Caenorhabditis elegans: one gene and its partner. The protein of the gene in region 1 interacts with the protein of each later gene in a pairwise test. Each region holds a gene or a part of one and is shown in the gene's direction. Other genes may lie near its edges.

Evidence for each region. Proteins that work in one complex are often made in the same cells at the same time.
Region 2: the proteins of mxl-1 (region 1) and tdpt-1 interact in a two-hybrid assay, tested with the Caenorhabditis elegans proteins (one study listed by BioGRID).

What each region holds. Positions count from the first base shown.
Region 1 is NC_003283.11:11,243,218-11,246,481, forward strand, and holds mxl-1 (Max-like protein 1), read left to right. Parts: upstream 1-1,621; coding exon 1,622-1,939; intron 1,940-2,569; coding exon 2,570-2,626; 3' UTR 2,627-2,709; downstream 2,710-3,264. Other genes in the region: pgap-1 (GPI inositol-deacylase), read left to right, coding at 47-243, 291-680, 734-1,156. UniProt on the Caenorhabditis elegans protein: Transcriptional regulator which binds to the E box motif 5'-CACGTG-3', when in a heterodimeric complex with mdl-1.
Region 2 is NC_003279.8:14,096,962-14,103,062, reverse strand, and holds tdpt-1 (5'-tyrosyl-DNA phosphodiesterase), read left to right. Parts: upstream 1-1,972; 5' UTR 1,973-1,979; coding exon 1,980-2,031; intron 2,032-2,094; coding exon 2,095-2,169; intron 2,170-2,218; coding exon 2,219-2,439; intron 2,440-3,111; coding exon 3,112-3,206; intron 3,207-3,339; coding exon 3,340-3,571; intron 3,572-4,761; coding exon 4,762-5,045; intron 5,046-5,230; coding exon 5,231-5,360; 3' UTR 5,361-5,571; downstream 5,572-6,101. Other genes in the region: Protein tfg-1, read right to left, coding at 638-783, 836-1,016.

The sequences.
Region 1 (3,264 bases):
GTGTAATTTTTAGAATTTTTATCAATATAACAATATTATTTTGTAGTGAACTCTATGACCACAGTTCGTTATGATGAATCTATGATGTATTTCAAAAACTCGTCGGATGGTGCAGTGGAAACGTGGATTTATCGAGCATTGGAAAAAGAAGAAGTTCGTTTAGTTCTCGATGTGACAGCTCCCTGTAGTATTGATATTCAAATGAGCCCTCCAATGACAGTGCAGTTATGGCGTTTTTATGAGGTGAGTGTCTCGATTTATGCTTTTCAGAAATTTATAGTTTCTTGCAGATCGTGTTCTCTCATTTACATGAAGTAGGCGGAACCATGATTGTGATTAGCGTATTCTTCGCTATTTTGGTTCGTGAGACACTGTTCTACAGTACGACGGCTGTTTTGTTGACCAACCTTGTTGCCTTATTTTTTGTGATTCACGGAAGTACAGACTACACGGACACCACTACACTCCCCATGGCTTTGGGATATTTCATGGCACTGGGTTGGAGAGCGATATGCTTTGTCGTTGACTGGCTTATTGTGTCAAGAATTGGATTTGTCAAAACAGGACATTTGGCGCTCCGCGATGACAAGTTAATGAATGGCCTGTACCTGGTTGGATCAGCAATCACAATCATGGCAAGAAATGAGGGATCAATTGTTTTGATTATTCTCCTCGCATATGTTAGTAACCTGGAAAAGTAATACAACTTTTTTAATATTGTTTTTTCTTTCAGCGTCATCATCCACGGGCAGTTCTTCTGATTCTCCCGACATTGATCCCATATATTCTCAAACTGGTCGGCTTCCCGTGGTTCTCGACGGATTCTCTTATCGTGTACCAACTGCAATATCAACCTGCATTTTACGCCGGCGGACTCTATCTCTTCGGTCTTGTTTCAAATCTCGGAAATCGACAGATTACTTTGCGATTACTCGTTTACGGACTTGTGCCAGCATTCCTCTATTTAATCACATCGCCTCTCGAACTATTTTCCGGATTCACCCTCATCATATTCAGCACAGCTCGCTTCGTTACATTCCCATCACGTAAATCTGTCACTCCTCCTGTTCCCGAGCAAGAAAGAGTTCAAGTGGAACAACCACGTCCAATTCAAAACAACAGACAACGCTATAACCTACGAAATAGGAGAAGATAATTTTGTGCCTATACTTTACACCAGTGCTTTTTATACATTTCTACGCCGGTTTTGAGGTTAATTACATGTATAGATAAGATTCTTCCAAACGTGTGGCCAATTGTTTGTCTAAGTTTCCCTTTCCCACCATTCTATTTTCTCATATTCAATTTTTTTATTTCTCTAGTCTTCACTTTTACTACATACTCGTGAATCTTCAAATTTCTTATCCCAGTGTTAAGAAGTTTTATTCGTATTTTTTGGTTTGATCTATTGTTACATGGTCTGTTTTCATATCAATCTTCGATTTAAGTTTTATGTATATATTACCTACATATTATTTATTAGATCTCTGTGATAATGAATATGCTATTAAAACACAATTTACGTGTAAAGTTATTTTACATGGTTCTCATGAGCCTTTTTCTATATCTCAAATTAAATATTATTTACATGTTCACTTCCCTAATGGAAAATAAACCTCAGATGTCTGACATGAGTGACCTCGAAGATGACCAGACAGGTCACTGTGGTTCCGGAGAACACAGCGGGCCGTTTGATCCGAAGCGGCATGCTCGAGAACAGCACAACGCTCTTGAACGACGAAGACGTGATAATATCAAGGATATGTACACAAGTCTGAGAGAAGTAGTCCCTGATGCCAACGGGGAAAGGGTTCAAGCATCGAGAGCTGTCATTCTGAAAAAAGCAATTGAGTCGATCGAAAAAGGCCAATCCGATAGTGCAACGTTGTCAGTTGATGTTGCCGAACAAGAATCAAAAAATGCAAAACTCAGAGAAGAGGTTAGTTAATATTTCTTATTTATGCAATATTGGGGTAACAAAAAATTCTGATAATGCGTATTGCGCAACGTATTTGCCGCGCAAAATATCTCGTAGCGAAAACTACCGTGTTCTTTATATTAATACTGTAGAGCTTAAGTCGATTTACGCGCTCAGTTTTCGAAATGAGTTTATTTTCGAATAGTGACAGCGATACTCCATTTTCCTTTTTGTATTATTTTCTCACTTTTTGATTAATGTTTATATTTTCTCGATAAAAAACTGATTTCAATTTATTCCGAACATCGAGTCCGTAAATCGACACGAGCGCCACAGTAGTCATTTAAAGAGTTACTGTAGTTTTCGCAACGAAATATTTTGCGCGTTAAATATATTGCGCAATAGCATTCCCAGGATATTGCGTTCCTGTAATATAGTTATGTTGAAGTTGATTGAGAATAATTTTTAGAAACTCCCTCCCTCATGCTCATACTTCTGTTGAAACATTTAGTCAATCGCTCTTAGAATCCCTAATAATTCAGATCTACAATCCTGTTTTAATCATGTTTTAAATCATGTTACAGCTCTCATTATTATCGTTGATTGAAATCACGCGGGCTAGCCAACTAATCTCATCAATTTCATTTTCAGATAGCTCGCCTGAAAGCCAAGAAAGATCCGTCATCGTCGCAGTCGATAATTCAATAATAACTACCGTGTATGCATGCTCAATAATGTAATGTAGTACTAACCATTCCAAAATTGCCATAGTACAATAAATGTTTGCATTTTATCCTGACTTTGCACATTATTTGAAAGACATTCTTTAATTTGAAATTTTCTGATTTTTCACGGGATGTTCATTACTGTGCAACTATCTTGATCATAGTCATCAACTTAATCCAACACATTTCAAATGAACTTGGCAATGCTCGTGTGAACATAAAGAGACTGGAAAACAAGTATCGTAGGACAGAGAATACATATGTAAAAATTGTATCTTATAATGTATAATCACTTCTTATCATTCCTGTAATATTAAAGGAACACTAAATTCGTAGAATGCGTATTGTGCAACATATTTGACGAACAAAATATCTCGTATTGAAAACTACAGTAACTTTACAACGATTACTGTGGTACTGGTGTCGATTTACGAGAACTCGATTTTCGAAACGAATTTCTATTCGAATTATTGTGACAGCAGAATTGTGACAGCATTGTTCAATTTTCTTTTTTTTCGTCACGTTTTGTTTTTTTGTTCTCTTATTATTTTACCGATTCACAATTGAGTTCCGTAAACCGACACCGGTGCCACAGTCGTCATTTAAAGAGTTACTGTAGTT
Region 2 (6,101 bases), on another chromosome or scaffold:
TGAATTAAAATTCGTTTTTCGCTAGCTGTAGTACTAGAAATTCCAATTTTTAGCCATTTTGTGTTAAAAATATTGAAAAAAAAAACCGATTATTTGGATAATTTTGTTTAAAAATCAATGAAAACGCTGAAATTTCTCCAATTTTTCAGTGAAAAACCAAAGATTTTGTGAATTTTAAAAACAAAATTGGTTGAGGCTCACACTATAAACAAAAAAAAGCTGCATAGCCTCACTCAAGCTTTAGCTAATTTGGTTGAGGCTAAAGCTACAAACTACAAAATCACCATAGCCTCACTCAAGCTTTAGCTAATTTGGTTGAGGCTAAAGCTACAAACTACAAAATCACCATAGCCTCACTCAAGCTTTAGCTAATTTGGTTGAGGCTAAAGCTACAAACTACAAAATCACCATAGCCTCACTCAAGCTTTGGCTAGTTTGGTTGAGGCTCACACTACAAACTACACTTGTTTCTTAGCCTCAACCAACATTTTTCAGTGTTTTTCCGGATTTTTTTTTGTCTAAAAAGCTCAAAAATGCAGCATTTTCGATGAAAATTCTGCAACATTTTGCATTTTCCCGCTCAAAATTGCGCTTTTCAGCTCAAAAATCGTTTTTTTTCGCTCAAAATCCTCCTTACCTTAATCTGCTCGACTTGCTTCTGCACATCGTGCACAGCCTCACGAGCTCTCGAGTCGACAACGACGGTCACGTCGAGCGTGGCTCCAGACGTGTGAAGAGCCAGCAGGAGGTCGCTATCCTCGGCGAGTGTCACCAAATCGCCTTCTAAAATTGACAAAAATTGAATTAAAATCGCAATTTTCAGTGCAATTCCTACCTTCATCCTTGTACTTCAACACGAAATTCGCGTCGGATGGGAGAGCCAAAAGCCGCTGCACATTGAGCACGAGATCGATGAGTGTCAAGTCGTTGGCGTGGTGAAGTGACGTCTTGCGGACGACGTCGGCGTGACGAGCCTTCAGAATTGTGCTCGTGATGGCTCCGTTTGAATGCACCATCTGGAAAAAACGGGGGTTTTTTAAAGGGAAAATTGGGTTTTGCGGGAGAAAAAGAAAGAAAAAAGCAAAAAAAAACCGGCGAAAATCAACTAGAAATCAAGAATTAAACACAGAATCCGAATTTTGGTGAGGCTCAGGCTACAAACTACGAAATTGGCTCAGCCTCACCCAAGTTTATCCGGAGCTCATATTTTTACGAAAATTTTGGATTTTCATGTGTTTTGACAGGAAAATTCGACTTTTTAGTTGAAATTCGACCTAAACGAGATCAAAGTTTCAAAATTAGAGCGGGAGTAGGCCAAAAATATGGTTTCATCGATTTTTAGGCGATTTTCCTATCGAAAATCTAAATTTTCGGCTCTAAAACCCACTTGAAACGCTATTTTCTAAGATTTTAAAGCAAGAAACCGGCAGAAATCAAGAAATAAAATAGTTCCACGTGTAATATAATAAAGCAATTCCATCGGAATCTCTAGATTTTCGCGGGTTTTCGGTATAAAAATCGGGATATGGCACATAAAATAAGTAAAGATCACGAAAATAGATCAAAATCTTCAAGATAATATTGAAAAAATTGCGAAACTAGGTCTAAAAAAATTCCACACGGATTTTCATCGTTTTTTGCCGGTTTTCTGGGGTTTTTTTATGGTGAAAATATCGATTTTAACCTCTAATACTCACTTTTCTTGCTATTTTTATGGATTTTCTGCAAGAAAACCAAGGAAAAATGGGAAAATAACGGGAAGAAAAACGATCCAAATCCGCGATATAAAATTCCACGTTCGGTAAAAGTGCGCCGCAGTTGCAACACGCGTGCCAGGATTGCAAATAGGGTACGCCCCCCGGCTAGACTCCGCCTTTTCAGTTATTCTTTTCGCGATTTTTTGAATTTCAATAGTTATCGTGTGGATTTTTCGCGTTTTCTGAAAAAATATGATAAAATCCTCTAATTTCAGCTCAAAAATGTCGAATTCTGACGATGAAATACAGGAAATTGAGGCTAAACGACAGAAAAGTAAGGCTTTGCAGCTGGAAATTCAAAATATTTGAATTTTAAATCAAATAAAATATATTTCAGTGTCCCAAGAAGATTCCGAGGTCGAAATCGAGATTCTAGATGAGCCGGAGCAAGGAAAACTGAAAAATTCGTCGAGTAAACCCGAAAAATCAATAAATTAAGGCGAAAATCCGCGATTTTTCAGTGAGCGACGAGCAAAAACTGCATGAATTTGCAATAATCACGGCCACAGATGAGGCTTTTGCGCAGTCGATTTTACAGGATGTAGACTGGGATTTGAAGAAGGCTCTGGACGTTTTTTACGGGAGTGAGGCGTTCGCAGAGGCCAGAAGTGCGGCCGTAATGGGCGCTTCATCGTCTATGGCGAGCTCTGGAGCTGCGGTGATGACGGCAGAGGATTTGAAGGTTAATAGAAGAATATTTGGAGCAAAATCAAGCCAAACCACCTAAAAACATCGATTTTCGAGTTAAAAAACCTCAAAAATGCTGCAATTTCCGTAAAATTTCAGTGATTTTTCACAGAAATCATTGAAAATTTGAAAAAAATCACTTTTTCAACCGGAATTCCGAAAAAAAAAATTGGTTGAGGCTCAGGCTACAAACTACAAAATCGGCCGAGCCTCACCAAAAATTTCCAAAGCGAAATCTGGCGAAAATACTTGAAATTTTCCTCATTTTTTATCAAAAAAACTAAAATTTCCATAAATTTTCATAGATTTCCTTCAAAAATCAGTAGAAAAACTAAAAAAAAATCACGCTTTCAACCGGAATTCCGAAAAAAAATTGGTTGAGGCTAAGACTACAAACTACAAAATCGGTATAGCCTCACCAAACATTTCCGAAGCATAATACTCGAAATTTCCCTCATTTTTCTTCAAAAAAGCTCAAATTTCCATAAAATTTCATGAATTTCCTTCGAAAATCTTTAGAAAAACTGAAAAAAATCACGCTTTTAACCTGAATTCCGAAAAAAAAATTGGTTGAGGCTAAGACTACAAACTACAAACTCGGCTTAGCCTCACCAAAAAAAAATTCACTTTTTTCGCGATTTTTCCAACAAATTTCAAATTTTTTCAGGGATTCGAAGTCAGCGTAATGTCGTGGAACATTGATGGGCTCGACGGGAGAAGCTTGCTCACAAGAATGAAAGCAGTGGCTCATATTGTCAAAAAGTGAGCAAAATCGGCGATTTTTCACGGAATTTTCAAATTTTTAGTTGATTTTGATGCAAAATCAGCAAAAAAATCACTAAAAACCGTCAAAAATCTTCAAAAATCAACCTGAAACGCCAAAAAAAAATTTCAGCGTCAATCCGGACATCCTATTCCTCCAAGAAGTCGTCGACCGTGATTTGGCGCCGATTGATAAGCTTCAATCGCTGTATAAAATCTATTATTCGAACAAAGGCTGCCAATATTATACGGCGATTCTTGTGTCGAAAATGTTCGACGTCGAGAAGCATGACGTCATTCATTTTCAGAATTCTGGAATGTACAGAACTTTGCAGATTTTGGAGGGATCTATTGGCGGTTTGAAGGTTAATTTTTCAGAAAATAGACGAAATTTTAAGAAAAAATCCCGGAAAACCGCTAAAAATGAGTGAAAATGATGGTTGAGGCTACCCAAATTTGTAATTTGTAGCCTGAGCCTCAATCAATTTTTATCGCAATAATCGAATTTTTCAGTTTTTTACTGAAAAAAAAGATTTTTTGAAAAATTCTCGCATTTTAATCCATTTTTTCAAAACAAAATATAAAAATTCCCGTAAAAATCAATCAATTTCCGCAAAAAATACCTTAAAATCGAGCAAAATGTATATTGGTTGAGGCTAACCACATTTGTAGTTTGTAGTGTAGGCCTCAACCAATTTTTCCCCTCAAATGTTTTCCCTCTTGTTTTTCTTGCAAAAAACTTCAAATTTTTACAGAAAATGGGATTTTCCACTGAAAAAATCTAGATTTTCAGGTTTTAAAATCAATTTTCGGTCAAATTTTACGGAAAATCCCTATGTCTTCCTGAAAATCTCTTTTTTGTTGTAAGATTTTCGAGATATAATTGATTTTTTTCAATCAGAATTCTGCAATTTCTAGCTGAAAATCACAGTATGTAGTGTGAGTTCGAAAAAAATTCGTTGAAACTTTGGTGAGGCTAACCAAATGTGTAGTTTGTAGCCTGAGCTTCAATCAATTTTATTTGTAATTTTTTTGAATTTTTCAATGATTTTTGTCGGAAATACATGAAATGTTATGGAAATTTGAGCTTTTTTGAGAAAAAATGTGGGAAATTTCGAGTATTTTCACCAGATTTCGCTCCGGAAATGTTTGGTGAGGCTAAGCCGATTTTGTAGTTTGTAGCCTGAGCCTCAACCAATTTTTTTTTCGGAATTCTGGTTAAAACCCTGATTCTTTCAGTTTTTCTTCTGATTTTTGAGGGAAATCCCTAGAATTTTGAAAATTTGGAGCTTTTTTTGAAGAAAAATGAGGGAAATTTCGAGTATTTTCATCAGATTTCGCTTCGGAAATGTTTGGTGAGGCTAAGCCGAGTTTGTAGTTTGTAACCTGAGCCACAACCACTTTCCCGAAAAAAAACTGAAGAATTTCCTCGTTTTAATTGATTTTTTTGAAAGAAAACTGAACATTTCTATTAAAATCATTCGCTTTTCGGCAAATTTAACAAATTTTTGTAGTTTGTAGCCTGAGCCTCAACCAATTTTCTCGTTTTTTGCAGGTATTCCTACTTAACACCCATCTCGAATCAACACGTGAGCACCGCCCGCAACGTTGTGCTCAATTCGGCTTCTGCATGGACAAAGTCCGTGAAATCATCGCTCAAAACCCGGGCGCCCTCGTCTTTTTCGGCGGCGATTTGAACTTACGAGACGAGGAGGTCAGCCGTGTGCCTGACGGTGTTAAGGATGCCTGGGAGGCTGCCGGCAGTGATAATAAGACAAAATTCACGTGGGACACCTTCAAAAATGACAATAAACAGGGATTCCATGGCGCTAAGATGAGGTAAAAGCGAAGAGACAAATAAAAAAGAAATAAAAAATATTTTGCCACACCGGGGGCTCGAACCCCGGTCGTGTGATTGGTAGACGGCGAAAAGCGCACTGAGCCATTCGATCATTTTTTAAAAAATAAACAAAAATCGATTTTTTTCAATTTTTTAAAAAATCTAAAAAGCTTCAAATTTTCAGATTCGACCGCCTATACTGGTCTGGACCACTGGACAAAGTCAAATTCACACTTGAAGGCCGCCAACGCATCCGTTCCTGTTTGTGCTTCCCATCTGATCATTGGGCTATCAATGCCACGTTTTTTGCCTGAAATAAGCCTTAAATAAGCCTTAAATCATCATTTTTTACCCATTTTCACTTGTTTTTCGACCGGTTTTCACTATTTTTACCCAGGAATTACCTCCCAGTTGTCACCGGGTTTTAATCTTTTTTTTTCATCTAAGCTCCCTTTTTTTTGAAAACTCGTTGTTTTTATTGATCTTCGATTTTCGATACTGATTGTAAATAAATCCACTTTTTTTTTTCTTTTAAAACTATAGAAAATCGCTCATTTTTTGGAAAAAAAAATTGGCGCCTAAAAAAATTAGAAAATTGAAATTTTGGGATAAAAAAATATTTTATTTTTTAAATTTCGAGCTTTAAAATAACAAATTTCATCTCAAAACCACTACAAATAGAAAATAAAAATTTTTGCCACATTGCGGACTCGAACCCCGGTCTTGTGATTGGTAGCCGGCGAAAATCCCACTGCGCCATTCGGACACTTTTTTTTTCGAAAAGCTTAAAACTCGATTTTTCTGATTTATAAGCCTCTAGATGATTGTTATTATCTTAAACTATAGGAAAAATCGTTTTTAGAAGAAAATAACTAGAAAATTGATAATTTCGACTCAAAACCCAACTTTCAAAAACTTTTTGTTCTAAATTTCTAGGTTTTGAGGTTTTAAATTGCTAAAAATCACATCAAATTGGCAAAAAATTGAAAATATTCGCCACGCCGCGGACTCGAACCCCGGTCTCTTGATTGGTAGCCGGCGGAAATCCCACTGCG